Linked DNA regions of Canis lupus familiaris. The protein of the gene in region 6 purifies or fractionates together with the protein of the main gene of each other region. This does not show direct contact. Links are inferred from orthologs where the notes say so. Each region holds a gene or a part of one and is shown on either strand. Other genes may lie near its edges.

Region 1 (5,339 bases), on a different chromosome or scaffold from region 6:
ACCTCTCAACTTCTAGGTACTAAACCTATAAACATAAAAGCTTCTGCACACATCCATTCTTCCCATTACAAAGGAAGGTCGGGATCCCAGAGTGGCTCAGCGGTTTAGTGCCTGCCTTTGGCCTGGGGGCGTGTTCCTGGAGTCCTGGGATGAGTCCCACTTCCGGCTCCCCACAGGGCACCTGCTTCTCCCTCTGCCTGTGTCTCTGCCTCTCTGTGTCTCCCATGAATAAATAAATAAAATCTTAAAAAAAAAAAAAAAGGGAAGAAGGTCTTTCCCCCTTTTAAAGGCTAATCCATTTGTATCACACTCCTTCCCACATTGTCAGGAATTTCAAAATCTTTGGTTAACAATACATTCATATTTGGCTCCTAATTTTCTCAAAAACTACTTCTACCAAATCCTTCCACCAGTATTCCTCAAATTCCCATGTTCCTCCACTTCAGTTCAGTTGCTAGTAGTCTTCTGTACACCTCTCTAGATTGTAAGCTTTGGGGGGGTGACTGAATATTTTTATTTTGTTCACTATTGGATGTTCAATCCTAAGAACTTAAGGTACATGGTAAACGTGTAAAATGTATGTCGAACAAACAACTAATTATGAACACAATGTCATTCTTGTGGTTTCTTCCAGCCAATGATAAAAAATCGAAAACAGTAATTCAAAATAAACAACAGTTACCCCCTAGGTAATAGAAAAGAACTTACCTCCAGTTCATTTTCCAGTTTCATTACTTTAGTTTTTAATTGATTTTCTATTTAAAAAAAAAGTTTCAATTGGTCAGATTCATCTCAAAACAAACTTTTAAATAAATTTCAACAAAGTAATAAAATTATTTCTAAAGACTCCATCATGATTATAATAAGTAACATAAGAAAAAATGACTTTTATACCTCATCCAGGAAATATGAATGCTAGAAATTTCTTACAAAATAAACTGAGCATGTATATTTTATAGAGTATATTAAACAGAAGCCCCCCTACTTAACATTGTGATAAACTTTTCCAGGACATTTACCAAATTTTGCTTGTTCTTCTCCAGCCTTTTCAACTTCCTCCAAAGCTAGCTCAACCTCTTGAGCTTTCATCTAAACATTAAAAAAGAAAGGTTATTTCAATATGCCTTTACATACACACTGAAAATGAAAATGAGAACTTTGTTTCATTTGCTTTCCCAATATTTATTTGTCATTCAGTGCCTGGGATATGGAGACTTTCAGTAAATATTTGTTGAATGAATAGATGATTTTCTTAAGGACATAATTCCTAGATTCCTAACAGCTTGAAGTATATTGATTCCTCTTTTCTCCCTCAAGTCTTATATCCAGTACTGTAACTTTGCCCTTTGTAATGCTTTCTACTATGTTTCTCTATTCCATTTGTCATTATTCTAGCCCATAATCTTATATCTAACCTTCTTCACCATGTTATCTCTAAATAGCTTCAATTCCCTTCACTTAGTCCTATTAATATACCTAGTTGAAGCCTTCCTAAGGCATACTTTTGCACTTATCAATTAGGCTCAAAAACCTCTCATGGCTCCTCATTGCTAATAGCAACATAAAATACACCTGTAATACCCTTGACGGCCTACTGCTAACTATAACCAACATTAGTTTCCTCTACAACCTACTATAAACTTTCTGCACCTGTCTCAACTGTAAAAAATAAGCACATTTTCTAGTCCCAGATTTTACTTGTGATGTCCAGCTGTAGAAGCTTTTTAACATTTGCCACTGCTTTCTACTTACCTAAAATTGCTCATCACTCTTTGCCCTTTATGAGGCCTTCTCTCACCTAAATCTCTTCCTCTCCTAACAAACCCCTTACAAGTCATTCACATTTTTCATTCTGACTTCAGGATTATGTTAACATAATCACAAATGAGTTGCTATATTATTTTTAAACATACCCATTCTGTTTCCCTTATGCATTCTTTTAGGAACTTTGGAGCAGAATCGAGCAATGCTTTGCACACTAAAATTCTCAGTCCATATTTGAAAGAGATCTCTTTTTGAGTGATTTTGATATTACAAATACCTTCATAACAATTAACTTATTTAAGAGCTCCTTAAATGTCCTCTAATAGTCAAATATTGTTAAAACCTACTGCATACAAACCTTCATTAGTGATTGAGTAATTCTGAAAAGGTGTATCACATTTTCTTGACTTTCAGTTTTTAGCTCACTTATTTCCACCTAAGTAAAGAGAAAAGCATCTATTTTATGTTTTATAACCCTTAGTCAAAATGTAAAAACTCTTCTATTTGTAACATTCATTGATCTCAGGGACAACTTGGATTAATCACAGTTGTACATAGATAGATGCACTGTTTATAAATTAAGCACCTTGGATAAGGAAACCAGTAAATTATCTGCCAATTCTTCTTGACGAGGCAGGTCATCTGGATCAACTTTTATTATTTCTTTCCAGTTTATATTAGGTGGCATCTTGAAATCTTTCACTGCGCTTTACCTTCTGGAACAAGACAGGTAGGTGGGTGTTAGCATTTTCAAGATAAACAGCATTACTATTTTTATAGATTGTATCATTTTAACTCTCTATGGTGTTAGCAAAGAGGTATGGCTCCCTAATTGCATAAGAGATAAGTGGGCATAATAGCATTGATCAAAACTATGACAGCTGGCACAAATCAACAGATCCTGCACCGCCTGTAAACTAGGAGTGATTTCTTCTAAAACTAACCTAGGGCAGAACTAAGATTCTGAATCCCCTCCTCCACGCCCCCTTACCACCAAGGCGCGCGAACATCTAGTGGTGCCAAAACGAGGGGGGTGCTTGGAAGGCTGAGAATGAATCCTGATTCGGAGAAGCAAGAACAGGAGCGGTTTAAAAATAATAATAATAAAAACAGTGCAGAAATAAACGACTGAAATGAGCGCAGCTAGGCCAGGGAAAGCAGGGCTGCAGCTAGAAGAAGGCAGATGGGTTGCAGACCAGGCTAAGCAGTGGGGAAGCTAGGCTGTTACGTACGGGCCCTGAGGCTTAAAGAACCTGCTTGGGAAGAAACTGGCTGCTCCTGCTCATCAAGATCCACTCCAAGATCCACCCACCGAACCGAGCCTGGCGATCAGCAGCGGCCCCCGATCCGCCCCCCGGGTCGAGCCTGGCCCCGCCGCCACGCCCGACCGCTCCCCGGCGCCGTTCCACCGGGACTCTGGATCCCGCCAACTGGTGCAGTGCAAGCCAGAGCGGCGGCGGCTGCTAGGCGACACCATTCCCCACCCCGCGAAGGACGGCGCAAGGCCCCGGATGCGAGGGGAGCCTACATTTCACGACCTTGAGTGATGCTTTGCGTTTAGATCCTCCCGCGGGGCCCCTTGGACTCTGTGTGAAAGACGGGGAGAAGGCGAGGGCAAAAGGACTCCAAATCCCAGAACGCAGTTCTGCTCGGAAGCTCGTGCATGCTGGGAACTGAAGTCTAGGGAGGTAGGCTGTTCCCGGCGTGCAATGCGGGAGGCTGCGACCGCGCGGGGGTAGCGGGGGAACGACCCAGAGGCGGGAGGCGCGGTGGCTGAGGCGCGTCTGCGCCGGTGACCTGAATGAGGTAGACCATGACTGTGCCTTCGGTGGCGTCACCAGCCGGGCCGCTTTTCCCGGGATTTCCCTAAGCCGTCTCCTGGTTGGACGCGCTTCCAGGTGAGGTCGGGCCGCTCGGGTCAGCGGCGGGGGAGGCGTGGAGGGGAGCGGTCCCGGCTTAAGGAAGCGCGCGCGGTCGGGGCGGAAGGACTCGGTCCAGGTCTGAAGGGCTGAGGGGGGCAGACCCCTTCTCCTGAGGCGTTTGCGGACGTCCCCCGGGCGGTGCCCTCTGCAGGAAGAAAAAAGAAAGTTTGAGTTTTCTTTGCTTTCAGGATCTACTCTGTGCGGTGGAGTCGGGGCCGCGCGGCCGGGGTCATGGTTTCGTGGGGAGTGAAGAACTGAGGACACGGTCTCCTCTGCCCGCCTCACCTGTCGCACCGTAGCCTTTGCTGGGGGCGGAGGTGGGGAGTGGGTGTCGAGGGGTGAAGCGCTCCAGGGAGGAGTGTTGAGGTCTCGTGTAGCCTGATCCCGACGCTGGGGTGCAGGGAGGAGCGGCCGCAGCCCTCACCTGCCTCAGCCTGTCACTTGCTTGACCAGCGACGATGCCCACAGGTGAAAGCGCTCCTCAGGTGTTCACAGTTCCTTTGGGCAGGTGTTGCTCATCCCACTGCGCTTAGCTCTTCTGGCTACTCCAGAACTCTATTAGGCTGTAGACTTGAAATCTTTTTTTTTTTTTAAGATTTTTTTTAATTTATTCATGAGAGACACAGAGAGAGAGGCAGAGACAGAAGCAGGCTCCATGCAGGGAGCCCGATGTGGGACTCGATCCCGCGACGGTGAGATCACACCCTGAGCCAAAGACAGGTGCTCAACCGCTGAGCCACCTAGGCGTCCCTGTAGACTTGAAATCTAAATGACATTCTCAATTGTTTGGGACCAGTGCCTCATGTTTATATATATATATTTTTTTTTAGGAATTTTTTCTTAACTATAACTTTTTTTTTTTTTAAAGATTTTATGTATTTATTCATGAGAGACACAGAGAGAGAGAGGCAGAGGGAGAAGCAGGCTCCTCACGGGGAGCCCGACGTGGGACTCGGTCCGAGGACCCCGGGATCGCGGCCTGAGCCAAAGGCACGCGATAAGCGCTGAGCGGCCCGGGCGTCCCCCCCCCCCCCCCCTTTTTTTTTTTTTAAGATTTTTTTTTATTTATTTATTCATGATAGTCACAGAGAGAGAGAGAGGCAGAGACACAGGCAGAGGGAGAAGCAGGCTCCATGCACCGGGAGCCGGGCGTCCCTCTTAACCGTAATTGATAACAAATTTCCTTCCAAAAATACATAGATTCATTTTCAAACCACGTGTTTGGGTGGAAATAGCCAAGGAGAAAATAAAAACAGATATGATTTCCGCAGATATGTTTCAAAGACATTCATCAGATTTGTAGGAATGATAATCTTGTTGTATCCTTTACTGAGATTATATGCCACGTACTGTTTTTTTTTTTTTTTTTTAACCATGCTGATATCGCATCCCCCTTACGTAGAAATTTATAGCTTTTGACCAGTTGGTTCTTTGTTTCTATGAGTTCGATTTTGTTTTTTTGTTGTTGTTGTTGCTGTTTTGGGGTTTGTTTTTTTAGATTCCACATGTGAGATCCATAGTATTTGTCTTTTTCTGTCTGACTTATTGCACTTAGCATAATGCTATCAAGGTCCATGTCTTCCCAAATGGCAAGATTTCATTCTTTTAATGGCTAAATAATATTCCACTGTATATATCGCATTTTCTTTATTC
Region 2 (5,292 bases), about 13 Mb from region 6:
AAGGCCAGCCCAGCCCCGCAAGGACTTACGGCCTTCATTGTAGAGGTAGGCTATGCCCAGCTTCACGGCAGCTTCAAAATTTCCCTTTTCCGCAGCCCTAGACAGTTAAAAACACAGCGTCACCTGATGTTGTCTGACACAGCACTTGAAGCTAAAACACTTGTTTTTTAACTGAGGATTTTTTAAATGTAACACAGTCATATACCCCTCAACCGTGACACCTGAACCTTAATGATGTGCCAAGCCAAAGAAGTCAGCCACAAAAGGTCACACACATGTGGTATGATTCCACTTACATGAAATGTCCACAAGAGGTAAATCCACACACAGGAGGGCAGATTTAGGGGTTGCCAGGGGCTGGGAAAATTGCAGGGAAAATAGGGAGTGGACACCGAGGTCGACCTCTACTAGTTCTGGCTTCACTGTGGGGTAGTGAGGATGTTCTAAAGTTAGTGGTGATGGTTGCACAACTCTGAATCTATGAAAAACCAGTGAGTTGCACACTTTAAGAGGATGAATGGTATATAGTACGTCGCTTATGTCTCAGGCAGCCTGTCTGGAACCACTGGCACACTGGGGCCCACAGGCCTAGGGGCTCACTCCTACTCCATCTCTCCCCCTGGGTCCCAACCCCGGCAGGAATTGGGATCAGCCACGGACTAAAATGCAAGAGGAGTTAAATCATATACTTTTGACCAAAAAAAAGAGGGAGGGCTGAGTAAAATTTCCACATGCAGGTGACTTGCATTTGAGTCACGCAGATTAGTCCCAGCCCAAGTGAGACCCTTCAGAAGCATGACAGTGACTAATGAGTCAGGCTGTGCTGGTGGCATGCATGGCAGTGACTGTGCTGCATGTGACTCTACAGGTGACGCTGCCAGCCCTCAGTCACTCCCTGGGGGGTGAGGAAAAGTGTTCCCAGGTCAAGTGCTGGGACGCAGGCTGGCACACTGGGGAACTGTGTGCCCTCAGGTGCACAGATACCTTTCAAAGAGCTTCAGGTTCCTTGGGGAAGGCCACAGTTCCTGGAAGCTGGCACATGCCCACACGCTGGCGTGGTTGTCCACCAGATACTTGAGGTGAGAGTGTACCTGTGGAACAAGGGAAGTGGGGTGGGGGCAGAGATTATCAAGGGACCCCCCAGAAGCCCCGCTCCTGGAGATCTTGACCATGGGACAGACAGATGACAACTCCCCACCCCAGTGGGAAAGAACCCGTGTATCAAAGTAATAGCTGTTTTGAATACACGGAAGGAGCAAATTTCTCTGTGGCTCTCAAGGCAAGGCCAATGGTCCTGGAAGGGAGAATGAGCATCTATGCGGAGAAAGGGGTGGTGACACTCGTCAGGGCATATACCTCCTAGGATTAGGGAAATGGATCTAACAGGAGCAAGTGTAACAGAAATTTGTTTTGTGCTCCTATCCCTGGGGCCTTGCTAGTGGGAACACAGCTGGAGCCTGGAGAACAGCAGAGAATTCAGGAAAAGACCAAAAAAATTAACACCACATTGGGCAGAGGCAGGAAGTGCCCCAGCTGGGAGCCCTGAGCACAGGTGAGCATTTCATGTGCTGAAGTTCCCATCGCCATTAAAAACTCAGCATCTGGGGATCCCTGGGTGGCGCAGCGGTTTGGCGCCTGCCTTTGGCCCAGGGCGCGATCCTGGAGACCCGGGATCGAACCCCACGTCGGGCTCCCGGCGCATGGAGCCTGCTTCTCCCTCTGCCTATGTCTCTGCCTCTCTCTCTCTCTGTGACTATCATAGATAAATAAAAATTAAAAAAAAAAAAACAAACTCAGCATCTGTGGATATTATGACCACGGTGGAAGCAGGTTTGGGAGGTTCCCATTGGGTGTTTTTCCACTGATTTGCTGTGCATGCCCTTGAGTAAGTCAGCAGGAGGCGAGTTTCTGCAAACTAACCTCCCAGGGTCCCTTTCAAGGCTCAACATCACAGGTGATTGTCCTCCAGAATATGTTTTTGTTCTTTCTTAATACTATGTTATTTCTTAAGAGGTGAACATTTCACTGCCACTGTAGGCTACTTTCTCTGTGAGAACAAACATTGCAACAAAGCGATTCAAAACATATTGCACTGTTTCAGCTTAGCTATTTTCCTGCAGATTGCAACAACCTCAGATGTCTATTACCATCCTCGTCCTTATAGCCTCTGCCCTCTTCTGTAGCCAAGATTTTGTTCTGACATCTAAGAACACGGAGCCCAGAGCCCTGAGCCCTGATGGTGTAAACCACCTGTGAGGTCAACAAGCTAGGGCTGGCGCTATTTTTCTCCTCCGGCAACTTACAGCTCGGACAGCGAGGATGTCCCCAACAGAAAGCCATTTCAGGATGTGAAAGAGCACATCTTCAGGGAGACTCAGGATGGTCAGGTTCCGGGGTCTCCTCCTTATTCTTCGCTTTGTAGGGTAACAGAAGCACTTGGCGCACCGACAGTGGATCACTGAGGAAGAAGAGCAGAGCAGAGCGGTCCAGGGGCGTGTTGGGAAGGAGCCAGGCTGAGGTGCAAAGTTGTCTCTGAAGACCCCCGAACGGTCCCCGTACCCTACCCCCAACGAACCCGCCTCATTTCCAGGTCCGAACAAAGGTTAGAGAGAGGAGGAGGGCTTCGCCAATTCCGGCAGGCACCGTCGTTCATTCAAACTCCTCAAGGGCTTAGGGGAAGCAGCAAGTACTCAGGGAGCCCGGCCACTGGGGACGGCGGTTCCGCTCGGGCCCGGGCCTCCGCGCTGGTCGGGCGCCGGGACCGCCCCGAGGGAGCCCCTCGCCCCGCTCGCCCCCTGCTCCCGCCCGCCCGCCCGCGGGACCTGCAGGCCTTCCTGCCCCGACCGGCTGTGCCCCGGGGTCGCCCACGGCAATTAACGGGCCGCGCGGGGCACCTGGAGGTCCCGCCGCGCTGTCCTCGTCCCCCGCGCCGGGCGGCCCCCCGAGCCCGTCCACACCCGCGGCGCCGGGCATTTAAACCACGCGCCGGGCGGGCGCCCCCGGACCGCCCCCACGCCGGGCCCAGGGGCCCGAGCCGCCCCGCTTGGCGCCCGCCGGCCCGCGCCCGCGCCCCGCGCTCACCGCCACCGCTCCCCATCGCCGCCGCCGCCGCCGCCCGCGCCCCCGGCCGCCGTCAGCCCCGCGCGCCCCGCGCAGGCGCAAACCCGCCCCGCCGCCCGCCCGAGTTTTCAAATGCGCCGGGCCCTCCCATTGGCCGGCCGCGGGGGGAGCGCGCCCCAGAGCCGCCGGGTCCCGGCCGCCGCCCCGCCCACCCGCTGCTCCGGGCGCTCGCCATTGGCCACGCCGGGACGCGAATTCGAACGCCGGCGGCTGATTGGTGGGGCCCGCGCGGCCGCCCCGCCTCCCCGGCCAGGGCGGTAGTGGGGCGGGGCGCCCGGGGAGCGTGCGGGGCCGGGCCGGCGGGGGCGTGTGCGCGCGTGGGCCCGGCGATTCCGCCGCGCGCCCCGGAGCCTGGCGCTCACCCCGAGGCCGCGCGCGCAGCCGACCGTGGACCGGGGCGCGGGACCCTCAGGGACGCGAACCTGGCTCGCCGTGCCTCCGCAGGACGTGCCCGCCGGCCCCCCGGCTGCCGCCAGCCACACGGAGCACGGCGTCCCTTGGGCCGGCACGACCCCACGGGGGAAGCGCCGGGCAGAGGAGGCCGCGGCGCTTTTCCCGGAGACGCTCTGCTCACTCCCCCCCTGCGCGCCCCGGGTCTGCCCCCCTCCCCTCCCCTCCCCTCCGCGTCCCCGTCCCCGTCCCGGTCCCCGCTGGGCGGCCGCGCACCTAAGTGCGAGGCGCTAGTCTGCAGCGGGGGACACAGAAGCAAACGGTCACACACGGTGTCGGAGGGTCCCCATGTCCCAGAGCCCGGGGGCCAGGCCCGGCAGTCGGGGTTGAGGAGGGAGGGGCAAGGCGGTGCGCACAGGAAGCCCGGGCGGCCCCTGGTGCACCCGGGAGCCCGCGGAGAACCCACGGTGGACCCTCCAGGTGTCTCGTCCTTCCTGGCGCCTTTGGTTACTGTGTCGGCCTTGTTACTGTGTCGTCCTCCTCCCCTGCACCCTTGTGACTTTGTTGCTGGTCTCCCTCTGGGCAGGGGCTCACCCTTCCAGCCTAGACTATGGTAGGCCTTCAAAGGGTCATAAACCCTGGTCCCCACACCCACTCGCCCCCCGGGAGCCCAGAGCGGCCTCCCTCAGTTGTCCTCTCTCTTGTCATTTATGTCCCCATCATTTTATTTATTCAGAGGTCAAGTTTTCTTATTTTTCCAGAAAACCAGTGCTGTTTCCTTGACCATGCTGTGCGCTCTCACCTGCATACGTTGCCCTGGCAGGAAGAGCCCTGGGGGCCCCGTGGGGTGACTAGCCACTGCCAGAGGCTGAGAAGAGTACATTTACCACGGGGCACCCATGCAGCGGGATGGGAGAACTCATTGGGAAGGTCTTGATTGTTGAGGGTCAGGGATGTTCCTGGCTGGAAGAAGGTGGCCATTGAGGATATGGGGTGGGGGGGCGGGGGGCGGCGAATGAGAAAGTTTCAAGGACAGCAGGGACAGAGGCTGGGGGATAGTGAAGCCTCTGAGAGCCAGAGCAATCCCACCATTCAGAGGAGAGGAGAACCAGATGCTCTGCAGAGGATGGAGAAACCTCGGGTGGAACACGAGGTGGAACAGTGCTGTCAAGTTGGGTGAGTGGTGATGGGAGGTAGAAGTTTGGTCAAAGACAGTAGATACCACTCCTCCAGAGCTTGGCTGAGAAGAGGGGGAGAGACCTAGCTGCAGAGGAAGAGCCGAGAGGGCTTTTTAGAAGGGACTGGTGGGACCATGTTGGAGAAAGGCCCTGTGACAGGCACGTCTCAGAGGAGCGTGCTTGTGACAAAGGCGCATGGTCCCATCCGTCTGGGCGCGTAGGCTGGCCTTGCGGCTCTCAGGCCTGGGCTCAGTGGCTCTCACACCTGAGCTGCCTCAGAAGTACTTGTCAACATGGGGTCCCTACAACACAGATTGCTGGGCCTCACCCCACATAGTTCTGATTCAGTGGGTCTAGGGTGGGGCCCGAGAATCTGAATTTCTAGCAAGATTCTGGATGATTCACAAGCTGCTGCTCAGGAACCCCACTTTGAGAACCTCTACCTCAGTTGAATCGTGGCGCCACTACCTGTCAGCTGTTGAAAGTTGATGAATATCTCTAAGTTTTAGGTTATTCATCTGAATAATACTTCATGGGTTGATGCAACCATCACATGCAGGCTCACTCCTGATATTTGTAGAGACCAGGGCAGAGAACGAGTGGA
Region 3 (4,606 bases), on a different chromosome or scaffold from region 6:
ATCTCCATCATCTGTAACAGCTTCCTGACAGACTTCCCTGTGTCTATACTACCCCTCCCCTTATAATCTAGTTTCCATATAATGGTCAGTGATCTTTTTTTCTCCCAAGACAAATTTTTTTTTAAAGATCTTATTCATTTATTTCAGACAGAGTGAGAAACATCACAGAGGGAGAGGGAGAAGCAGACCCCTTGCCCAGGAGAGAGCCTGACGTGGGGCTCAATCACGGGACACTTAGACCATGAGCCGAGCCAAAGGCAGATGCTTAAACAACTGAGGCACCCCAAGATAAAATTTTTTTAATAATAAATTGTATTGTCATTCTCTTGCTTAAAACCAGTTAAGTGGTAATTTTCCAAAAAGAAATTACTTTCTAGGATCAATAGATAAATATACTACTATGAAAACAAATACACAAAGAAGAGAAATTCAGAATCATTTACCTGTGTGTTCACTACTTCCTGAGATAATGTCTGATTGAGTGGTGGGTACATCTCAAGTTTTATATTTAAAATACCAACAGAAACTTTTGATTCTGTGCCTATAAATATAAACAAATATTTAGAACTTCAGAGGTTTCCAGACTATGTATATTTAGTCAACCAAAGTCTAACCAAAATAATCTAAGAATTTTGGCTTTACCACTTACGTGAAATACAGATAATATTCAACATCTTTAATATTCATATTAAAAACAATTCAAATCAGTTTTTATTTTGCATAAAGACCTTGATCTAGTTGTAAGATTATCTATTTTTTGAGCTTGCTTATTACATTTTAAAGGGCTATTTGGATCTAAAGGATTTGGTATTCTTAATTTTTATCTTCATTAAACGTATACCAACCAGATTTACATTAAAAACAAAGTAAAGCAACTGTTAACATCTGGTTCTCAGGAAATATTTATACTTTGTCACATATAATAATTCCTTCCCATTTTTCGCATCACATCCATACCTGGATTTAAACAATTTGAAAACAAATACACTTTTTACAAGAACTATCTACTATTCCTCTGGTGAATCAGAATATACTTGTTTCTTGGTCACTACTATGATAATCATGTTAGGCCTATATTTGAAGACAAATAATGTGTATCTTTTGGAAATACATATATCCCACAAAAAACTTGTGCCCTTACTTTCTATTTAAGGAAAACCACATTCTGGGTATGACTTATCAAAATCTAAAGTACTAAAGCTATACCGTCCACCAACCAGGTTTGACTCTGTGACTTAGTTTCAATACCAAAGTAATTCCCTTATATGTTATGCATAAAATACTGGTAGGTTTTATTCTATTAGAAAATACATATCACACATCAGATAGTTCCCAAGAGTCCAAGGAAACAATGGTGAATAAAATAGGCACCATCTCTCTCCTCAAGGAGTATTATTCATAGATCCTGTCAATGAACAAGTCAGCACCTCTTTGAGTCCCATATTCCCACATGTAAAATGTTGGAAAAGTATCACCTCCATATTCTGTAAGAACCACTGCTGCAGGAAGGCACTGATACTAATGGGGGATGCACTGTACACTGGAGTGTGCTGGAGTAGAGTTTTTACATATGCATCTGTGTGAAGAATCCTACTGTTCTTTATAGCCTTATATGCAATCAAATAAATTTGAAGAAAAAAAATAAGCCCCTGAAAAAAAAATTTTTCCTTACAAGATCAGTTTGACTGTATAGTTCTATACCCTTTTTTTTTTAAGACTTTATTTATTTATTCGTGAGAGACACACACACACAGATTGAGAGAGAGAGAGGAGGCAGAGACACAGACAGAGGGAGAAGCAGGCTCCATGCAGGGAGCCCGACACGGGACTCGATCCCAGGTCTCCAGGATCAGGCCCTAGGCCGAAGGCAGTGCTAAACCACTTAGCCACCCAGGCTGCCCTAGTTCTTTACTAACATGCTTCACGGCATTTCCCAAGACCCCAATACTAGAGTCCAAATGTAATTTTGATGAAATTCTTTTTTTAAGTATTTTATTAAGTATTTATCTATTTGAGAGAGAGGACGCACACAAGCACAAGAGGAAAGGGGGGAGGGGAAGAGAGAGAGAGAGAGAGAGAGAATCTGTTTTTTTTTTTTTTTTCTATTTTTTTTGAGAGAAAGAAATCTTAAGCAGACTCCTCCACACTGAGCCCAGAGCCTGATGCAGAGCTTGGATCTCATGACCCTAAGACCATGACCCTAAGATCACGAACTGAGCCAAAATCAAGAGTGGAAATCTAGAGTCGGATACTTAAGTGACTGCACCATGCAGGCACTCCCTAATGAAAGTTTTTTTACATGTTTCCTGTTTGGTTTACAAAGGCATTCAGAAAACATAAAATGCATTTATAAACAAGCTATGGCTATAAAAAGGTAACAGTGATGAATCATCATACCTACACCCATAAGCTCCACAGTAAGACTGGTCACTCCATTTTCTGAGCCCAAAACTGATCGCCATTCGAGAAAATAGGATGCTACTAAAGTAGTCTCACCAAATATGTCTGTTTTGATTAGCACCATATGAACTGGATCACTTATTGATAACATTGTTGTTGAATCAGCCATTCTAGTTCCATCACCTGGCAACATAAACCAAATGCATCACATTACATATTCCATTAGACCAACATAGAAGAATACGTTTATTGCAAAGGATACTAATATACTTACATAAAACCAAATAAAATAATTTGGTAATGCCTCAGAAACCATGCAACAGATTACTTAATTTAAAAAGTACAATCCTGGGGCGCCTGGGGAGCTCTGTCAGCTAAGCGTCTGCCTTTGGCTCAGGTCATGATCTAAGGGTCCTGAGATGGATCCCCAGGTCACACCCCCTGCTCAGCAGGGAGTCTGCTTCTCCCTCTCCCCAACACTCTCTGCTTGTGCTCACTTGTGCTCTCTCAAATAAAATCTTTAAAAAAAAAAAATAAACAGCCTTATTAGGGTAACCTTTTTCACCAAGGGCAAAAAAATCTTTTCATACTGTATTAGCCATCTTAGCAATCTAAATTTCTAAAGGTGTAATTTTTTAGCTTTGCTAAGCAAACACATTATTAAGATTTCTATATTGAAATAACATAAAATACAGTTACAGAAATAATATAAGAATTATAGGAATCAGGTATATAATTTTAAAAAACTAGTTACAGACTCCCATCTTACCTTTATTTCTCAAAGTTACATAACATGATAAACCTAGCTATCCTTCATAAATGAGAAGAATTATGTCTTGTTCTTCACTAGATCCTCAGCACTTGCCTAGTACAGTATAACGCATCTAGCAGGCATTCATTGATTGGTTGATTGACTGATTTTGGGGAGGGGGGCGGAGAGGGAGAGGGAGAAAGAAATCTCAAGTAGACTCTGTGCTGAGCGCAGAGCCCGATGCAGGGCTCAAACCCACAACACTAAGATCATGCATGACCTGAGCCAAAATAAGGAGTCAGATACTTAACCGACTACAGCACCCAGGCAACCCCCTAACAGATATTTAAATGTTTACTACTTAAGAAGCAACCATTAAAACAGTAAAAATAAAAAATCTTAAGGAAAAATTATTTAGCAGAAAATAAAGCAAAAAGGTAGAAGTAATTTATGTAAAAAAGAGCAGTGGAGAAAATAAAAGCAAAGTAGGAAGATTCAATCATCATAAAACTCTCCTTCTAGCAAAAGTTATGTTACCATAAAACCTAACAAATATTTACTCAATTAAATGACAAGTTATTATTGCTCCTTACCTAAGCTTTCTCTGTGTACTTCAAGTAAAAAGCCATCATGAAAATCTGGTTCACAGGCACATGGAACAGGTTTAGAACGAAAACGTTGGTTTCGAAAATGTAAACATAGAGTAAAGGTTGAACAAACTTGTCCAGGTAAAGGCTCAGGTTCTTGTAGATGTTCCAAGAAAGCTTTTCCACCCAAAACCTGAAGGTAAAGATACCTCCGTGTTGGATCAATATTAGCTGTAAAGTGTAGCAATATATATGAGGAAACTGCCAAACAACTTAAGGAATGTGATCAAGACAATAGGAAATAATAACTTGACAGAAATAAAACCAAAGACTAAATTAAAAAAGTAACAAATTTACTGTATACCAGGACCATTTGAAACCAAGAAAGAAAACATACACAATAAGATATATTTTTATCGGAGTTTTTATATTCTGGGTACTTTCTCCCAGCTAGAAAAGAGTCAGAGCCAAGGCTTAAGAAACCTTTGCTCTTCAGGTGCTTATCTAATAACACGCCTTCACCGCCAAAGCCAAACCAAACAAATATAAACTCAGCAAGTGTACTTTTTAGGCAATTACCGTTAAAAAAGCAAAGCTGTACAATGTTTATAAAACATATTATTAAAACATGAGAAACAGGTAATTCTGTTTTTGCTTCCACTCTGTGATATACTAAAGCTTCTGACATACACAACTTGGTGCAAAACAGAATCTAAGTTTTTTGGATGATTAATTACAAAAATGGTAAGAATCTCATTCGAGAAGGAAAAAAATGGTTTTCATCAAATACCAAACACTACAGCACATCAATATGTAGTACGGTGCAAAACGAAATCAATGTTAAAAGAAATATACATACTTTTTTTTA
Region 4 (4,606 bases), on a different chromosome or scaffold from region 6:
TTTATTTATTTATTTATTTATTATTTATTTATGATAAAGAGAGGTGGGGAGCAGAGACACAGGAGGAGGGAGAAGCAGGCTCCATGCCGGGAGCCCAAAGTGGGACTCCAGGATCGTGCCCTGGCCCAAAGGCAGGCACTAAACCGCTGAGCTACCCAGGGATCCCCTAAGATTTTATTTTTAAGTAATCTCCACCCAACCTGGGGCTTGAATTCACAACACTGAGATCAAGAATCACATGCTGTATTGTCTGAGCCACCCAGGTGCCCCAATTTTGATTTTTTAAAAGGAAATGAGCAATATGTTGGAGATTGCTCAAGTTTTAATAACTTAAATCTCAAAAAATGCTAGTTACACCAAGCATGTGTTCTTGGACAAATCTTTAAACTTTCTTGAGCTTAAAATATGGACATGAAAAGAGAGAGCTGGACCAGAAGATCACCTAGGACCCTTGTAGCACGAATAGTCTTTGTTTTTTAAGTGATGAAAAGTCTAATAAAATAGATTCCTTTATTTTTATATGCACCATTTTGGTTATGTCAAAATAGATCATAATCTTTTTATTTGTAATTCATCCTGTTTTTACTTTCAAGACCCTGCTTTTACATGGAAACATCATCACCTCTCTTAGAATGGCACCTGCTTATCTACCCAGGAGTCTTGCTATACTTTCCTTGGCAGAAAATGAAATCCGGGACTTAAATGAGGTAAAATTTGAGGGTATTCTGTGGGATCCAGGAAACTGCAAAGTATGGAAGAGACTCAGGAGAGAGTTGTGACCTCATTTATAAACCGTGTATATCTTGGAAGACATTACCAAAAAGATGAAACACTTGACTCAAAATGATCGTTATTTTTCTTTCTACTTTTTCTTAATGTTAGTGGGTCATTAAGGCTTAATTTCATTTGTAATGCTGCAACTATCATTCCATCCAGAACTGATTTGTGGTAGAGGTGTAACTACATTAAAGGGGTCAATAAGTGATACTGTGCACTTTTGCTGCTATTATGTCTTCAAAATAGGATTTTCTCTGTTAGAAAACACTGCTGATACTCTGTAAGGGATTTTGTGCAGCAGGGACAAATAGTCATACTGATGGAATTTTGAAAGTCAGTGGATAATATCAGAGTGTTACTTGTTGCTTTTCAGAACAAGAGGGAAATTGTTACATTCTCAAACTACCAAAGATATGTACTCAAAGGAAGCCCTGTGCTTGATACTAAATAGTCCATTTCATTCAACAAAGATATCCTTTGTTCCAGATCTCTTTTTTGGCATCCTTAACTGAATTGGAACAGTTGTCGATCATGAACAATCCTTGTGTGATGGCAACACCATCCATTCCAGGGTTTGACTATCGGCCATACATCGTCAGCTGGTGCTTAAACCTCAGAGTCCTAGATGGATATGTGATTTCTCAGAAGGAAAGGTGAACATGACGTCTTTAACATCACATTTATCATGGTTGTTTTGAAAAGACTGCTTACTACAGATTAATAAACTGAATATTTTTTTAATGTGTATTTATAAATTAAGATTATTAATGCAATCATATAGGAAACTATATACTGGTCATTTAGGATTTTCTATCCTTTCCAAGAAAAAATAAGATCAATATCAGCCCGAGAGGTAGGGTTTAGTGAGTTTAACTTAATGCCCAACATATAAGAATTTGATTTCTGAAAGTTCTTTTGTTAAGTAGTTTGCGGGGCTTAGAGTATTTTCTGTTGAAATTATATGGATGCTGTATAGAGTCTCAGATAATTAATGTACTCACTTTTTGATGGTTCAGAAAGATTATTTTTTTCCTGGTTACTAGGGAGTTTCAGCCAACTTCCAGCAGAGTAGCTAAAATTAAAAGGACAGACAATATTAAGTGTTGATGGGTATGTGGAGTATGAGTATGTGGAACTCTCGTACTCTGTTCTCAGAGTGTAAATGGTGCAACTACTTTGAAAAAATGGCATATTTAGTGAAGCTAAATATGCAAATACCGTATGACCTAGCAATCTGGCTTCTGGTATATACCCTACAGAAATAGGTGCTTATGTGTCCCAAGAGACATACACAAGCATGTTCTTAGTAGCTTTACTCATAATAGCTGCAAACATTTCAGAGCTATTTGGTACATTTGGAAACAACCCAAATGTCAGTCCAAAGGGAGAGAGTGAGTGAGTGTGGGTGGGAGGAAGTGCAGAGGGAGAGAGAATCTTAAGCAGGCTCCATACCCATTGTGGAGCCAAGGGCAAGGCTTGCTTGATCCTATAACCCTGAGATCATGACCTGAGCGGAAATCAAGAGTTGGACGCTTATTGACTGAGTCACCCAGGCGCCCTGATCTTTATTTAATACATGGACTCGTTCATGGAGGAAATACTTCAAATTATTTTTATTAGGTAGAATAAAATTTTTATCCTTAGACTAAGTTTGAGAGTTCATGATATCAGTTAATCAGCTAGGCATGCTTCATATCTCATTGTGGAAAAGTTTTTCCTTTCTTGTGATATTGGCAAATCACGTAAAACTAATCTCATTTTATTTTATTTACACCATGACTCTTGCATGATTTTACCAGTTATTAATGGTCCAGTTTTTTTTTAGTCCATAATAGAACTTGGGTGGCTTGACAGTTTTGAACTGTAGAGTTCGTATGATGTCGATAACTTAATATCAAAGTCCAAGTAAAGGGCTGTGGGTTGAAAGTAATTTTCAAACTATTTATAATGCTGAGTTAATGCTATAAAAATAGAAAAAGAATACCAAAATGATCCAACCTCAACTTCAAGTTGAGCCTCTCCCTCTGCCTATGTCTCTCCTGAATAAATAAAATTAAAAAAAAAATGGAAATATATATGCAAAAGTAAACAGTAATGTAATGACTTCCCATGAATCCATTATCCAATTTCTACAGTTTGCTATATTATGTTCTTCTATATTATGTTCAAGCAAATCTCAAACTACATGTAATTTCAACTGTGGATATTTCAGCATATATCTCTAAAAGATAAGGGCTCTTAATGAAATAATTACAATACTAGGGACGCCTGGGTGGCTCAGCAGTTGAGTGTCTGCCTTTGGCTCAGAGCATGATCCCGGAGGCCCAGGATCGAGTCCCACATGGGGCTCCCTGCATGGAGCCTGCTTTTCTCTGCCTATGTCTTTGCCCCTCCCTCTCTCTCTCTCTCTGTCTATCCTTCTGTCTGTCTGTCTATCTATCTATCTCTAATGAATAAATAAATATATTTTAAAAATAAATAAATAAAAATGATGAGTTGATGGTTCACTAGCATCCTCCAGCTGTGACCAATTAGCATTTCTTTTAACTGTCATGAACTTTGGATTTAAATGTAATTGATGTATTTAAGTACTTTAGTTTGATAGTGAAGAGAGAAAATACTCATTGATTCTTTGAAAATAATTTAAAAATATTTAGAACAATGAATGCAATTCTGTGGAAGTGCCCCCTAAGCAAGAAAAAGGTTTAAAACATTATAAAGGGTAAAAGGAGTGAATCAGAAGGAAAGATTTTTTTTTAAAACTTAACTGAATTTTATTTATAAGTCATCCAGTGATGCTGTAAATTAAGAAGGAAGATCATTGTTGCTTCAAAATATATCTTGTCTATGCTGATGTCATCTCCTCTACTGTATGTTCTCCAAATCCAGCTTGAAAGCTGAATGGCTCTATAGTCAAGGCAAGGGGAGAGCATATCGGCCAGGCCAGCATATCCAGCTTGTCCAGTATCTGGCTACAGTCTGTCCTCTCACTTCCACGCTGGGTCTTCAAACTGCAGAGGATGCCAAACTAGAGAAGATTCTGAGCAAACAGAGGTAAGCCTCTTTATTTATAGCAGCTGAGGAAATCATAAGTGAAAATAATTCTGAGTCTTTCCTGCATGGGTTAAGTAGGACTGAATGAAGTGCTATGACCCCCATTTCTGGGCACTGGGACCCCTTGTCACTGCAGCAGTCCTATTGGGGAACTAAACCATGCAGTGCCGTCAAGCTTGCTCTGCAGCAGCTGCAATGTTAATTTCCTGAGTAGTGAGAGTCAAGCAGTATAGGAGGAGCCTGAGATTTTCTTTTTCTTTTTTTTTTTTTTATATTTTATTTATTAGCATGAGTAGGGGTAGGGGCAGAGGAAGAAAATGAGAGAGAGAGAGAATCTGGAGCAAACTCTGTGCTGAGCACATGGAGTCCAATTCAGGGCTTGATCTCATGACCCTGAGATCATGACCTGAGCCAAAATCAAGGGTCAGTCACTCAAGGAACTGAGCCACTCAGGTGCCCTGACACTGGGATTTTTAAAAAATATATATTTGCCCTTTAATGTAGGTGTTTCATATGAGTTTTTTATTTTACTTTCATTTTTATTTTTTTAAATGAAATTAGCCAACATATAGTACATCATTAGTTTCACATGTAGTGTTCAATAATTCATCAGTTGTGTACAACACCCAGTGCTCATCACATCACACGCCTTTCTGAATAGTTGTCACCTATTTACCCCTCTATCTCCCTCCCCTGCAGCAACTCTGTTTGTTTCCTATAGTTAAGAGTCTCTCTTGGGGGATCCCTGGGTGGCTCAGCAGTTTAGTGCCTGCCT
Region 5 (5,374 bases), on a different chromosome or scaffold from region 6:
GTCTTGAGCCCCTGAACCCTCCCTCACAGCAAGTCTGGCACAGGGTGAAGCCACCTCATACACAGCACCTTAGCCACCTCTCCAAGCAATTCATGAGCTCATCTCAGGCGTGGAGAAGAAAAGAAAAAAAGAAACCCATACCAAACATAGTGAGCAAGCTTCTTGACTGTAGTCATGACCCCACACGACCCCTCAGAAAAAAAGAAAACCTCTGGCTCTGAAATCTGAGTGCCTAACTACCAGGCAACCGTGCCTTCTCAGAAGGAACCTCTCGGAGAAAGATCAGAAGCCTTGTTCCAGGTCACAGCGGAGACTGGGGTGCCCGGGCAGGGGTGCTGGGTAACAAGGCTGCCCCAGAGCGCGGCCCAGACTGCACGCCCACCCCTTACCTGCAGCTCATCCAGGCTGAATTCACAGTACTCCCGGCGGGTGCCCTTGCCATTGGTCAGGATCCCACAGCCGCTCATCATGATGGTGCCTGTGGGAAGGCAGACGCCCGGCATCAGGCCAGGCCTTCCTTCACCATGGGAAGGTGTCCCCGCCCCGCCAGGGCTGGTACCTGACTGTAAATTGGTCATGGTGGCAGGGTACTCCAGGTTGTTGGGGTTGTGGGTGGTGACACCAATCTCAATGGAGCCCGACCACTTGTCTACGAGCTTGTCAATGCGGATCTTGGGGGGAGCGACAGCAGGAGGGAGAGGAGGGCATGTCAATGTGGAGAGAGGACCCTCGGCCCCACCCTTCCAATGTCAGGGATCGAGCCCCATTTTTGGTTCCCAGAGGGTGAGGTACCAGCCAGGGCCCAGGACCTCACACACCTCAAACATCTCATTGTCCCGGAGAGGGCGGTTGGTCATGACAACCCCGTTGTTGAATTCGTCCAGGGGCCGGCGGCGCTCAGCTGTCTTATTGTTGTTGCTGAGTTTGATGAGAGTCCCACACTTCTCGTGAAAGAGCAGGGCGTCGTTGGAGGTGAGGATGGGCGAGGTGGCAGCCCCGCCAGACCCCAGTCCTTCCCCTGCCGGTGGGGAGCTCAGGTTCACATTTAGGAGCCCCCCGTTGTAGGCAGAAAGGATGGCGTTGCCCACCACCTCAGAGAGCTCCATGCTGGCAAAGTCTAGGCGGCAGGACAGGGGAGGGAAGCCGGAATGAGGCTCTACACGTTCAGGCCCTCCACTCTCCCCCTAATCCTCTCCTGAGGGCCCCCTCCCCTCACCTTCCGCCTCACTTCCCATTCCCCTTCCCAAAGCCTCCAGGGTGCCCTCACCATTATGCGACTCAAGGCTGTTAGGAAACGTCTCCGGCCGGGGCTGCGCTGGGGACACCATGAAGGCTGGGGACCAGGCGGGGTGGGAGGGGAATGAGGGTCCAGCCCCTGCTGCGGGGCCCACAACCAGGACACCCCTCCTGTAGCCCCTGCTTCCCCTTCAGCAGACTGGGGTCTGAGTGGCCCTACCCGAACCCAGACTCCATGGTCACTAGTCACCCATGCCTTCTGCCACTCCCCCTGCCCCGCCTCTTCCCCTCGGCCCTGGCTGGGTTCTCACCTTCATCCCCAGAGGTCGCCTGTTCAGTCAAGGTGGAATCTTCAGGGGGTGCAGAGGGCTCGAGGGGAGGTGTGGGGATGGGAGCAGGGGGGCTGAAACCTGGCTCGGGGGGCAGCACGGTGATCTGGGTGCACTTGCCGTAAAGGTCCACCACGGCCCAGACCCGGGCGGGGAGGCCCGTGGCGGCAACACCACAGTCCCGCCCATTCACCCAGAGCCGCAGCTCCCCAGCAACTGTGCGCTCCACGCCCACACGGTCCCCTTCACCAAGCTGGTCCAGGTCCTGACCATACTCCTCCAGCACAGAGCGTCCATCCCTCAACACCGAGCAGCCTGACACTACCCATGAGCCCCCCTTCAGCCCTGTGGCGCTGCTTGGGAAGTCCAGAACACTGGGGTCTAGGGCCGTCACCCCAATCTCAATGGAGCCACTCCAGGAGTTGACCTGTGATAAGGGTGGTGGACAGAGGCTCAGGATGGGCTACCGTGGGTCCCCAACCACTAGGAAACCACATTTCACAAACCACGTGTCCCCCTCTCTCCACACCCCTAACAGCTAACTGGCTTTTCTCTATTGAGACCCAAGACACGACTCTAGAGAGGTGGTCCTGTGAGCAATCATCTGGACTGTCTCAGGGACTGCTGGGCCCGCTGTACCCCAGCAACTCTGCCCCCACTCTGGGATCTGTCCCCAACACCACCATGCCCTGGCTGCAGCCCCCCTGGCTTCCAGCATCCAAGTTCCCGGCTCTCCATGCCCATCCTCCTAGCTCCTGTCTACCACCCTCCTCCCCCCTCCCAATTCCCCCCACCCCCGACCTCATTTTCTCCAGGGCTCCTGCTCCACTCAGATTCCCTCTCTTCCCAAGTTCCATCTGTGTGCACCTGGCCTCTTCTCCGAGGGGCACACAAGCAGGCACACCTCCCCTCGGCCCCCCTGAGGGTCTCTCCTCACCCACCTCTTCGCCCCAGCTGATCCTCCAACGGCCGGTCCTTCCCCGGCTTCTCTCCTGCGCTCCTACCACATCCCCGACATCCCTCCATCTTTTCACCTCCCCAGAAACCATCCCGGGAGATCTGGACCCTAACCACCCCTGGGGTGGCAGCGTCCCGTGTCCGTTCCCTGCTCCGGGGTCTCGAGCAATCTAAAGCTCTCGCCGTCCCTCTCCCCTTCCCCGCCCGCCGCCTGGTGCCGCGACGGTGTGTCGGTTCGCTCTCGGCAGCCGGCGGCGGAGGCCAGCCCGGCCGTCCCGCCCCGCGTCTCCCGCTCGCCCCCTCCCGCCTCCCTCCCGCGGGCCCCGCTCCGCACCTTGCGGTCGATGCGGACGGTGAAGACGCGTCCATCGCGCAAGGGCTCCCGGCTCAACACCAGCCCGTGGTTAAACTCCTGGCCCGGCTGCTGCCGCCGCGCGGTACGCCCGCAGGCCGACAGGCTCACCAGGCGCCCGGTGCGGGGGTGCAACTCCCCGCCGGACCCCGGCCCTGCGCCGCTCCCGCCGGGGCCCCCACCCCCGCCAGGCCCCGGCCCGGGGCCACCCCCGGAGCCCCCGCTCCCACCCGACCCCGCCGCCATCGCCGCTGACACCGGGGCCGCGCGACAGCCGCGCTTGGCGGCACCGTGGCAACCGCGACGCACAGACACCCAGAGGGAACGGGATTCCGCGCTGGGGCCGGGTATGCTTTACGGCACTGCCGGGCGAGGAAGCATCCCGGGCTAGGGAACTAGTAACCCACCACGGTGGGAACGGAGGACGACGGGGTCGGGCAGGCTTGCTTTACGGCACGGCGGGGTGACGGCGAGGCTCTCAAAGGCGTGTGGGCTAGGACAGGGAGCTTTTGCGACAGAAGAGGAAACGACAGCCGCAGGCCCCTTTACGACGCAGGGGGTCCGCCCCACCTTCAGCTTGGCAACAGCGGCGCCGACGACCCCGCCCTCGCCGAGGTACGCGGCCCCTCTAGGAAGCCGCTTTACGGCGGGCGGAGGGGGTGTGTTCCCCTCGCGCCACAGCCTTCGCAGTGGGTGAGCAGCGGCCTTAGGACCTGGGGAAGGGAGCCGGGCGCTTTATAAATGAACACCTCGGCGCCGCGCGGCTACGTCTTTGCGACACTGTCGCAACCTCGTCGCTTTGTATCACACCTCTCGTGAGGGGCACAGCAGGCCAACTTTGGGGAGGGGGCCGGCGGAGGCTAAAGGGGTTGGCAGTACTTCCAGATAAGCCCACCGTGAACTCCCATCCAGCCAGACCCTTAAATCTTAAAGCCACGGATAAACAGTCCAGTGAAACCTTGGCAGGTGGTTTCCAGCAACGGCGCTGAGGAATTGACCCCCGCCCCCCCAAAAAGACCCCCGAGCTAGGAACAAGCCCCCAGCCCAACTCTGCGAGCTCGCGCTGAGGCTGAAAGGCTGTGACGTCACAATCAAGGCTTTTCGCCCGTAACCGGGACCCCCGATTGTGATTGGATAATTCGGATGAAGGCGGTGATGGGGAAGAAGGGCGGGAACAAATCCCAGAGACAAAGAAGGCCTTTGGGTGGGACAGAGAGAGGCAACCAGAGGGCAACCCCCCAGCCCGAGGGCCCTACTTAGAGTCTGGAACCCCGGATCGCGGCCCCGGAGAGCGGAGCGGAAGTGGACCCGGGCCTCTGCCAGAGCGTCCCCCGCCCGGCGCGGTGGGGGCGGGGCCTCGGGGCGGGGTTATGTGGGGGCGGGGCAGCTGAGAGGGGCCCCCGGGAGGGGCCATGGAGAAGCCGGAGGCTGTGGGGGCCGCTGGCGGCCTCGGTGGGGAGTCTCCGGGAGGGGCGAGCAGGGGAGCGCTAGGAGGCGTCGGAGGAGTCGAGGCAGATGCCGGGCCGCCCTCCGGTGCTGCCTTGTTTCACGGTTCTGAGCCCCCCCTGCACTCTGGAGGGATCGTAACTCGCAGTCCTAGAGTTAGCCGGCCCTCGGCGAGGGTAGCAGTCCCCGGTTCCGGGCCCAGCCAGCACCCTGGGGAGGTTGCGGGCCTGAGCGCCGGGTCCTGCCCAAACCCTGACGGATTCAATGCCCCCTTCCTTGGAACCAGTGTATCCGGGACCTGCGGCCTCGGGTCTGGGGGCTCTGGGGTGTACAACTCGGGATGCAGTCCGCCGCGCTCCGGGTCAACTTGCTCGCACTCCCACAAACCTGGTGAGGGCCGACCCCGGAGCATCCTAAAAAACAGCAGCTCCATCTTGATGCAGAAGTGCCTCCATGCGGACAAGTAAGGAGCCCCGCTCAGGGGGCAGCGGCGCGGAGCCCGGAGGGCGGGGTTCCCGACACTGGAGGGGGCGGAGCTAGGGGAGAGGGTGGTGTCCTAAGAACTAGGAAGGAGAGCGGCTGAGGGCTGTGAGCTGGGAATTCTCGGGTTCCAGGCTCTCTGGGGCCGCAGCTGGGGCCCAGTAAACGTTGTCAGGCCAGTATGTGATTATCATCAGGTATGGCACCCTCGCCTCGCCATCCTCAGGCTCCTGCGCCTCTGAGATCACGAGAGGATACAAGAGAAAGGTTTTTGAATAACTGAAGGAACGAGGGAGGGTTGTGAAGGGAAGGTCACTGGAAGATTTCCTTCTCCTCTCTTGGGTCCTACCCCTATTCCAGGAAAAAGTCTCAGCGGTGGGATGAGATGAATATTCTGGCCACCTACCACCCTGCTGACAAGGACTATGGATTCATGAAGGTGGATGAGCCCAGCACTCCCTACCACAGGTGCTGAGCCCTCAGCCCTCATCATTCAGCCCAGAACCTTCCCTATTCAGAGAGGGTAGAAGGGGAGGCAGAGAGACCCCAAGAACTGGGCACAGCCTGATGCCTG
Region 6 (4,606 bases):
CTTTCTCTATGTCTCTCATGAATAAATAAATAAAATCTTTAAAAATAAATAAAACAGACTGATGAGAATATTAGAAACCACATTCCAAAAGGAAGACATCATAGCAATACACTACATTAAAACTATGATATTTCATATAAGAACTCTTTCCTCCAGTCATTAACAATATTCTCTGATACAAAGTGAACTGTGATTCATATTTTAAATGAGAAAGCTTTAAGAAAGGCTTTCAAATGGCAATAAACTATAGCTAATTATAGGTCCTCTGATAAGAGAAATGAAATGAAAAACCCTGATGATCAGATGAGACCATTATTATTGTTTTTCAAAATGTGAATTAAAAGTATTCAATAAAGGTGGGTGAAAAAATGATGCCTAGAGGCCCATGGTGGCTTAGTCAGTTAAGCAACTCAGGTCGTCATCACAGGGTCCTGGGATTGAACCCCACATCTAGCTCACTGCTCAGCCTGGAGTCTGTTTCTCCCTCTGCTCCTCTCCTCACTCATGCTCCAGCTCTCTCTCTCAAATTAAAAAAAAAAAGTATTCAATAAATGTGCCATCTGCTTGGCAGGTATCAAACACTTCAAAGTTTCCTTACCTTTGGAACTACTTTCTAACATTTTATTCTTGTTGATGTAGACAGATCCCTTAGGGTATCTTTTTTCTGGCAAATATTGCCTTTCCTGTTCAGCTACTCCAGTTGTTAAGACATAAGGGCAGTTTTCTTTTTGCAAACTATCAATATCTAAATCAAGTCTCCGTTTAACTTTCTCAAAACTGTTATCCAAAAATGGTTCATTTCCACAGGACACTGTAGGGGTGTCCATCTGCTGTCTGGTATTCTGGTTTTGCATGAGTAAAGGAGATGGGTTTTTTACATCATAAGACTTATTCAGTTCCATTTGTAAATTACAGGTGTTTTTCTCTAACACATTGGCTGACTTGAGTCCACTCATAGTTCCAAAGTTTTGAGTCACTATACACTGACTGGTGGCATATGGCTCAGGCAACCTTGGCATTGCAGTACATGTACTGTCCATTTTGAGTGGTCCTCTCCCATCAGATGTTAACTGACCTTCCACGATAGCAAGTCCATGGATAACCTTCTTTTCTAACTGACTTCCTGAAGACTGGCATACCTGATTTGATTTACCTAAAACCACTTCCTGTATGGCTTCAGATGTATTTTTGGTGACACAGACCTTGCTTGAACAAACTCCAGCTAAATCAGCTGGTAACTTTGGCACACTTTCAGGTATATTTGTTTCTTCATCAGTAGCTTGAACAACTAAGTCTACCGTCTGTTCTTTTCCTTTAGGACTTAATTCACAGGCATTTACTGGGTTATTTATAAGTATATGACATGCTGATGATGGCCTAGAATGCCTTCGATGCATTTTAGGACTCAGGCTTGGCTCTGGACTAGGTAATTTGGCATACGAACCAGTAAGACTTTTGATAACATGATTTTCGGGAACAAAAGTGGGAATGACTTTAAAATCAGAATCGAGGTCTAAAACAGTGCAATGGCCAGTTCGTACAGGTATGTCCACTTTAGAAAAGCTACCTAAAACGGACATATTCACACCGCTTGCTTGAGTAGAAGCACCTTGGAGGAGAACATTTGATTTATTAAGGCTTGGTTTGTCAGGAACCAGAGAAGCACAGTGTCTGCCAGCCAGCTGCACCTTCTCCCTCCCAGAGTCAGTCCCTTTAACAGCCTCGTTTTCTTTATCTGAATGACTCTCATAAACACTTCTTTTCACACTACTTCTCAGACTACGTCTCGATTGTTCTCTTTCTATATATTCCTTTGACTTTTTCATCAAGTTCTGAAGACTCATTATGTAGGGATCCGGAGTAACTTCTTCCGAAAGTGATGGGTCCTGTTCTTCATTGGTTGGGAAGAGACCATTGGGTGTGAGAGTCTCCTGAGGGGTTGTGGAGGGGGTCTTTACAGAAGTTTCATTTTCCACAGAGCTAATAATATCTGAACTATCACAGTGCTTCAAAGAATTAAATTCTGAGTCCCTAGTTAAGTCTACCCCATTAGATTTAAATTGGTCCTCATTATTCAATGGCAAAATTCCAGTTATCTTTTCAAACTTTCCTAAAGTAGAGTGCTCAGTAGGGCTTGGCAAGATATTTGGAAATGTAGCAGGGACATTCAAGTTTCTGACTTCTGAATCAGAGTAAACTGTTTCAGTCTCCCACGGATCAAAATCACTGGCTTTAGGTGCTTTTCTAACCTGGAAAAGGAAATTTTAAAATTAGTATTTTCTTACTGCAGAGAAAAGCCTTTGATTTCATTGTTTTCTAAAATAAAATTGAAATAGAAAATTCAAATATTCTAACATTTGAGAACACAAAAACTAAGATAATCCTTCTCTATTGTATCCTATATCACAGAGCTCAAATTACTATTAAAAATGGCTACTGATAAAATTTTTAAATAAAATAATTTAAAAAAATACAAACATCCCAGCCTATTTATTAAAAGAGTATAAGCAAGAAAGGAAATGATCTAATCTGATGCAAATTTGTACATATGGGGACGCCTGAGTGGCTCAGCAGTTTGGCACCTGCCTTTGGCTCAGGGCGTGATCCTGGAGACCCGGGATCGAGTCCCACATCGGGCTTCTTACATGGAGCCTGCTTCTCTCTCTGCCTATGTCTCTGCTTCTCTCTGTGTATCTCTCATGAATAAATAAAACCTTTAAAAAAAATCTGTCCGTATGTGCATGGGTATACACACACATATATATTCACATATCCATGCACAATTTAATCTTGGAATCTAAGGGTTTTCTTTAACTTTCTTCTGTATTATATGTTATTAATGTCACCACTGTTCTCCTATGAAAGCTATCAACTAAGGATACTGATATATGATATAAATAGCACATAATTAAATTTCTCAAATGACTCTTTCTTTAACAAAGACTAACTTACCCAGGATATAAAAATAATTCAGTAATCAGACTCTTGCCTCCCATATGCTTACTCCAGATTTTAACTAAAATCCTTCTATGAGGGATCCCTGGGTGGCGCAGCGGTTTGGCGCCTGCCTTTGGCCCAGGGCGCGATCCTGGAGACCCGGGATCGAATCCCACGTCGGGCTCCCGGTGCATGGAGCCTGCTTCTCCCTCTGCCTGTGTCTCTGCCTCTCTCTCTCTCTCTCTCTCTCTCTCTCTGTGTGACTATCATAAATAAATTAAAAAAAAATATTAAAAAAAAAAAAAAATCCTTCTATGATAAGGCAAATTTATAGTAAATGATAGCTCAGCCATGTAGCTTAAGTTACTAAGAAATAAGAAAATTTTCAACTTAAAATCCAACTCATCAAGGCAAATTTCAATTTGATTAACTGATGATCATTTTAAACAGCAACCTGTTAGAGTTTTAGAACAAGAAAATAAGTAAAAATTTATAAATTGAGAACTGAAATCCAACAGAAAAAATAAAATTACATCTTCTATCTAAATAATTTGACCTTGCAAAAGAATAAAGTGAACTAGGATGGTTTTTAAAGATTACACAGGATATATTAAACTGACGGGATATAAAAATAAATAAATAAATAACACTGACGGAAATTATCATATTATCATATCAATACAGACTCCAGAATCCTGAATATTAAAAAAGATTTTTAGGTTGTTATGTATGTGTTATTTTTCCCTAGACCATATGGCACTCCTGTTTTACCTTACAAATCCCAAGACATATAATGGTTTCTAGGTACTATGCAATAAACAGCACAACAAAGTATACTTAGTCACAACCTCAAGACCAAAATAAAACAAAAGGGAAACATATTCACCATGTCCATGAATATGTTTACAGGCTTACATAAAATAAATTGTTTCCTTAAAATATCTCAAAGTTCACATTTGTATATACAGCAGCTATGTTTTTGGTATAGTACTAAAAGGAGTTTTTGTTTAGAGAATTTAAGAATAAAAATATATCACAGAATGATAGGTTTTACAGAGACTGAAGAAATCTGTTTGTTTGATTTAAAATTTCTCTATATCTGCATATAATTAATTCATTACTCTCTAGTTTAACACTGTACATGCTCTATTAAATGTTGGAAGTTTTAAGACTCAACAATCTCATTACTAGTACATTTGATATATTCCTTCACTGGACCAATAATTATATGCCATTTTGTTTCAATAATAGGAAACATCTAGTAAATCCAAAGTCTACCCTTATTGTGCTGCACTGTATTTTTTAAACTTAATATAGTCATTACAATCTGCAAATTAAAATCTACTACCCACAGAAAAATGAAGGTAGCAATTAGTGGGAAACAGCCTAAGGTTTGTTGTACGTGTATCATCTAGTATGAATTATATAAACTATAAAACAAACCCTAAGGAAAAAAAAAAAAGTTAAGATGTAGCCAGCAAAACAGAGCTACATAGAGCAGAAATCATTTGTTCAACATAATTCGTTTTTTCTTTAGTATGAAATGATCCACACCCTAAAACAAACTGTTTATAGAAATTTATTCTTGGGATCCCTGGGTGGCGCAGCGGTTTAGCGCCTGCCTTTGGCCCAGGGCGCGATCCTGGAGACCCAGGATCGAATCCCACAT

What was found.
Region 1: the proteins of CCP110 (region 6) and CEP290 purify together in Homo sapiens (co-immunoprecipitation; 6 studies listed by BioGRID and IntAct, with this or other methods). This does not show direct contact. The link is inferred for Canis lupus familiaris from reciprocal best matches to the Homo sapiens genes CCP110 and CEP290.
Region 2: the proteins of CCP110 (region 6) and CCNF purify together in Homo sapiens (affinity purification with western blotting; 7 studies listed by BioGRID and IntAct, with this or other methods). This does not show direct contact. The link is inferred for Canis lupus familiaris from reciprocal best matches to the Homo sapiens genes CCP110 and CCNF.
Region 3: the proteins of CCP110 (region 6) and CEP76 purify together in Homo sapiens (co-immunoprecipitation; 4 studies listed by BioGRID and IntAct, with this or other methods). This does not show direct contact. The link is inferred for Canis lupus familiaris from reciprocal best matches to the Homo sapiens genes CCP110 and CEP76.
Region 4: the proteins of CCP110 (region 6) and CEP97 purify together in Homo sapiens (co-immunoprecipitation; 10 studies listed by BioGRID and IntAct, with this or other methods). This does not show direct contact. The link is inferred for Canis lupus familiaris from reciprocal best matches to the Homo sapiens genes CCP110 and CEP97.
Region 5: the proteins of CCP110 (region 6) and NEURL4 purify together in Homo sapiens (affinity purification with western blotting; 4 studies listed by BioGRID and IntAct, with this or other methods). This does not show direct contact. The link is inferred for Canis lupus familiaris from reciprocal best matches to the Homo sapiens genes CCP110 and NEURL4.

Annotation. Positions count from the first base shown.
Region 1 is NC_049236.1:29,576,646-29,581,984, forward strand, and holds the start of CEP290 (centrosomal protein of 290 kDa), read right to left. Parts: upstream 3,249-5,339; 5' UTR 3,018-3,248; intron 2,495-3,017; exon of another isoform or gene 2,481-2,494; 5' UTR 2,453-2,480; coding exon 2,351-2,452; intron 2,201-2,350; coding exon 2,123-2,200; intron 1,090-2,122; coding exon 1,020-1,089; intron 756-1,019; coding exon 709-755; intron 1-708. UniProt on the Homo sapiens protein: Involved in early and late steps in cilia formation. Its association with CCP110 is required for inhibition of primary cilia formation by CCP110.
Region 2 is NC_049227.1:39,032,397-39,037,688, forward strand, and holds the start of CCNF (cyclin-F), read right to left. Parts: upstream 3,141-5,292; 5' UTR 3,098-3,140; coding exon 3,082-3,097; intron 2,459-3,081; coding exon 2,304-2,458; intron 1,092-2,303; coding exon 985-1,091; intron 98-984; coding exon 30-97; intron 1-29. UniProt on the Homo sapiens protein: Substrate recognition component of a SCF (SKP1-CUL1-F-box protein) E3 ubiquitin-protein ligase complex which mediates the ubiquitination and subsequent proteasomal degradation of target proteins.
Region 3 is NC_049228.1:78,176,680-78,181,285, forward strand, and holds part of CEP76 (centrosomal protein of 76 kDa), read right to left. Parts: coding exon 4,598-4,606; intron 3,970-4,597; coding exon 3,745-3,969; intron 2,584-3,744; coding exon 2,398-2,583; intron 542-2,397; coding exon 444-541; intron 1-443. UniProt on the Homo sapiens protein: Centrosomal protein involved in regulation of centriole duplication. Required to limit centriole duplication to once per cell cycle by preventing centriole reduplication.
Region 4 is NC_049254.1:8,459,954-8,464,559, forward strand, and holds part of CEP97 (centrosomal protein of 97 kDa), read left to right. Parts: intron 1-593; coding exon 594-707; intron 708-1,263; coding exon 1,264-1,430; intron 1,431-3,470; exon of another isoform or gene 3,471-3,666; coding exon 3,667-3,831; intron 3,832-4,606. UniProt on the Homo sapiens protein: Acts as a key negative regulator of ciliogenesis in collaboration with CCP110 by capping the mother centriole thereby preventing cilia formation. Required for recruitment of CCP110 to the centrosome.
Region 5 is NC_049226.1:32,490,424-32,495,797, forward strand, and holds the start of NEURL4 (neuralized-like protein 4), read right to left. Parts: upstream 3,121-5,374; coding exon 2,857-3,120; intron 2,735-2,856; exon of another isoform or gene 2,615-2,734; coding exon of another isoform or gene 2,507-2,614; intron 1,993-2,506; coding exon 1,548-1,992; intron 1,334-1,547; coding exon 1,268-1,333; intron 1,118-1,267; coding exon 819-1,117; intron 672-818; coding exon 560-671; intron 479-559; coding exon 390-478; intron 1-389. Other genes in the region: uncharacterized protein LOC106558815, read left to right, coding at 4,287-4,783, 5,161-5,268. UniProt on the Homo sapiens protein: Promotes CCP110 ubiquitination and proteasome-dependent degradation. By counteracting accumulation of CP110, maintains normal centriolar homeostasis and preventing formation of ectopic microtubular organizing centers.
Region 6 is NC_049227.1:25,964,076-25,968,681, forward strand, and holds part of CCP110 (centriolar coiled-coil protein of 110 kDa), read right to left. Parts: intron 2,250-4,606; coding exon 599-2,249; intron 1-598.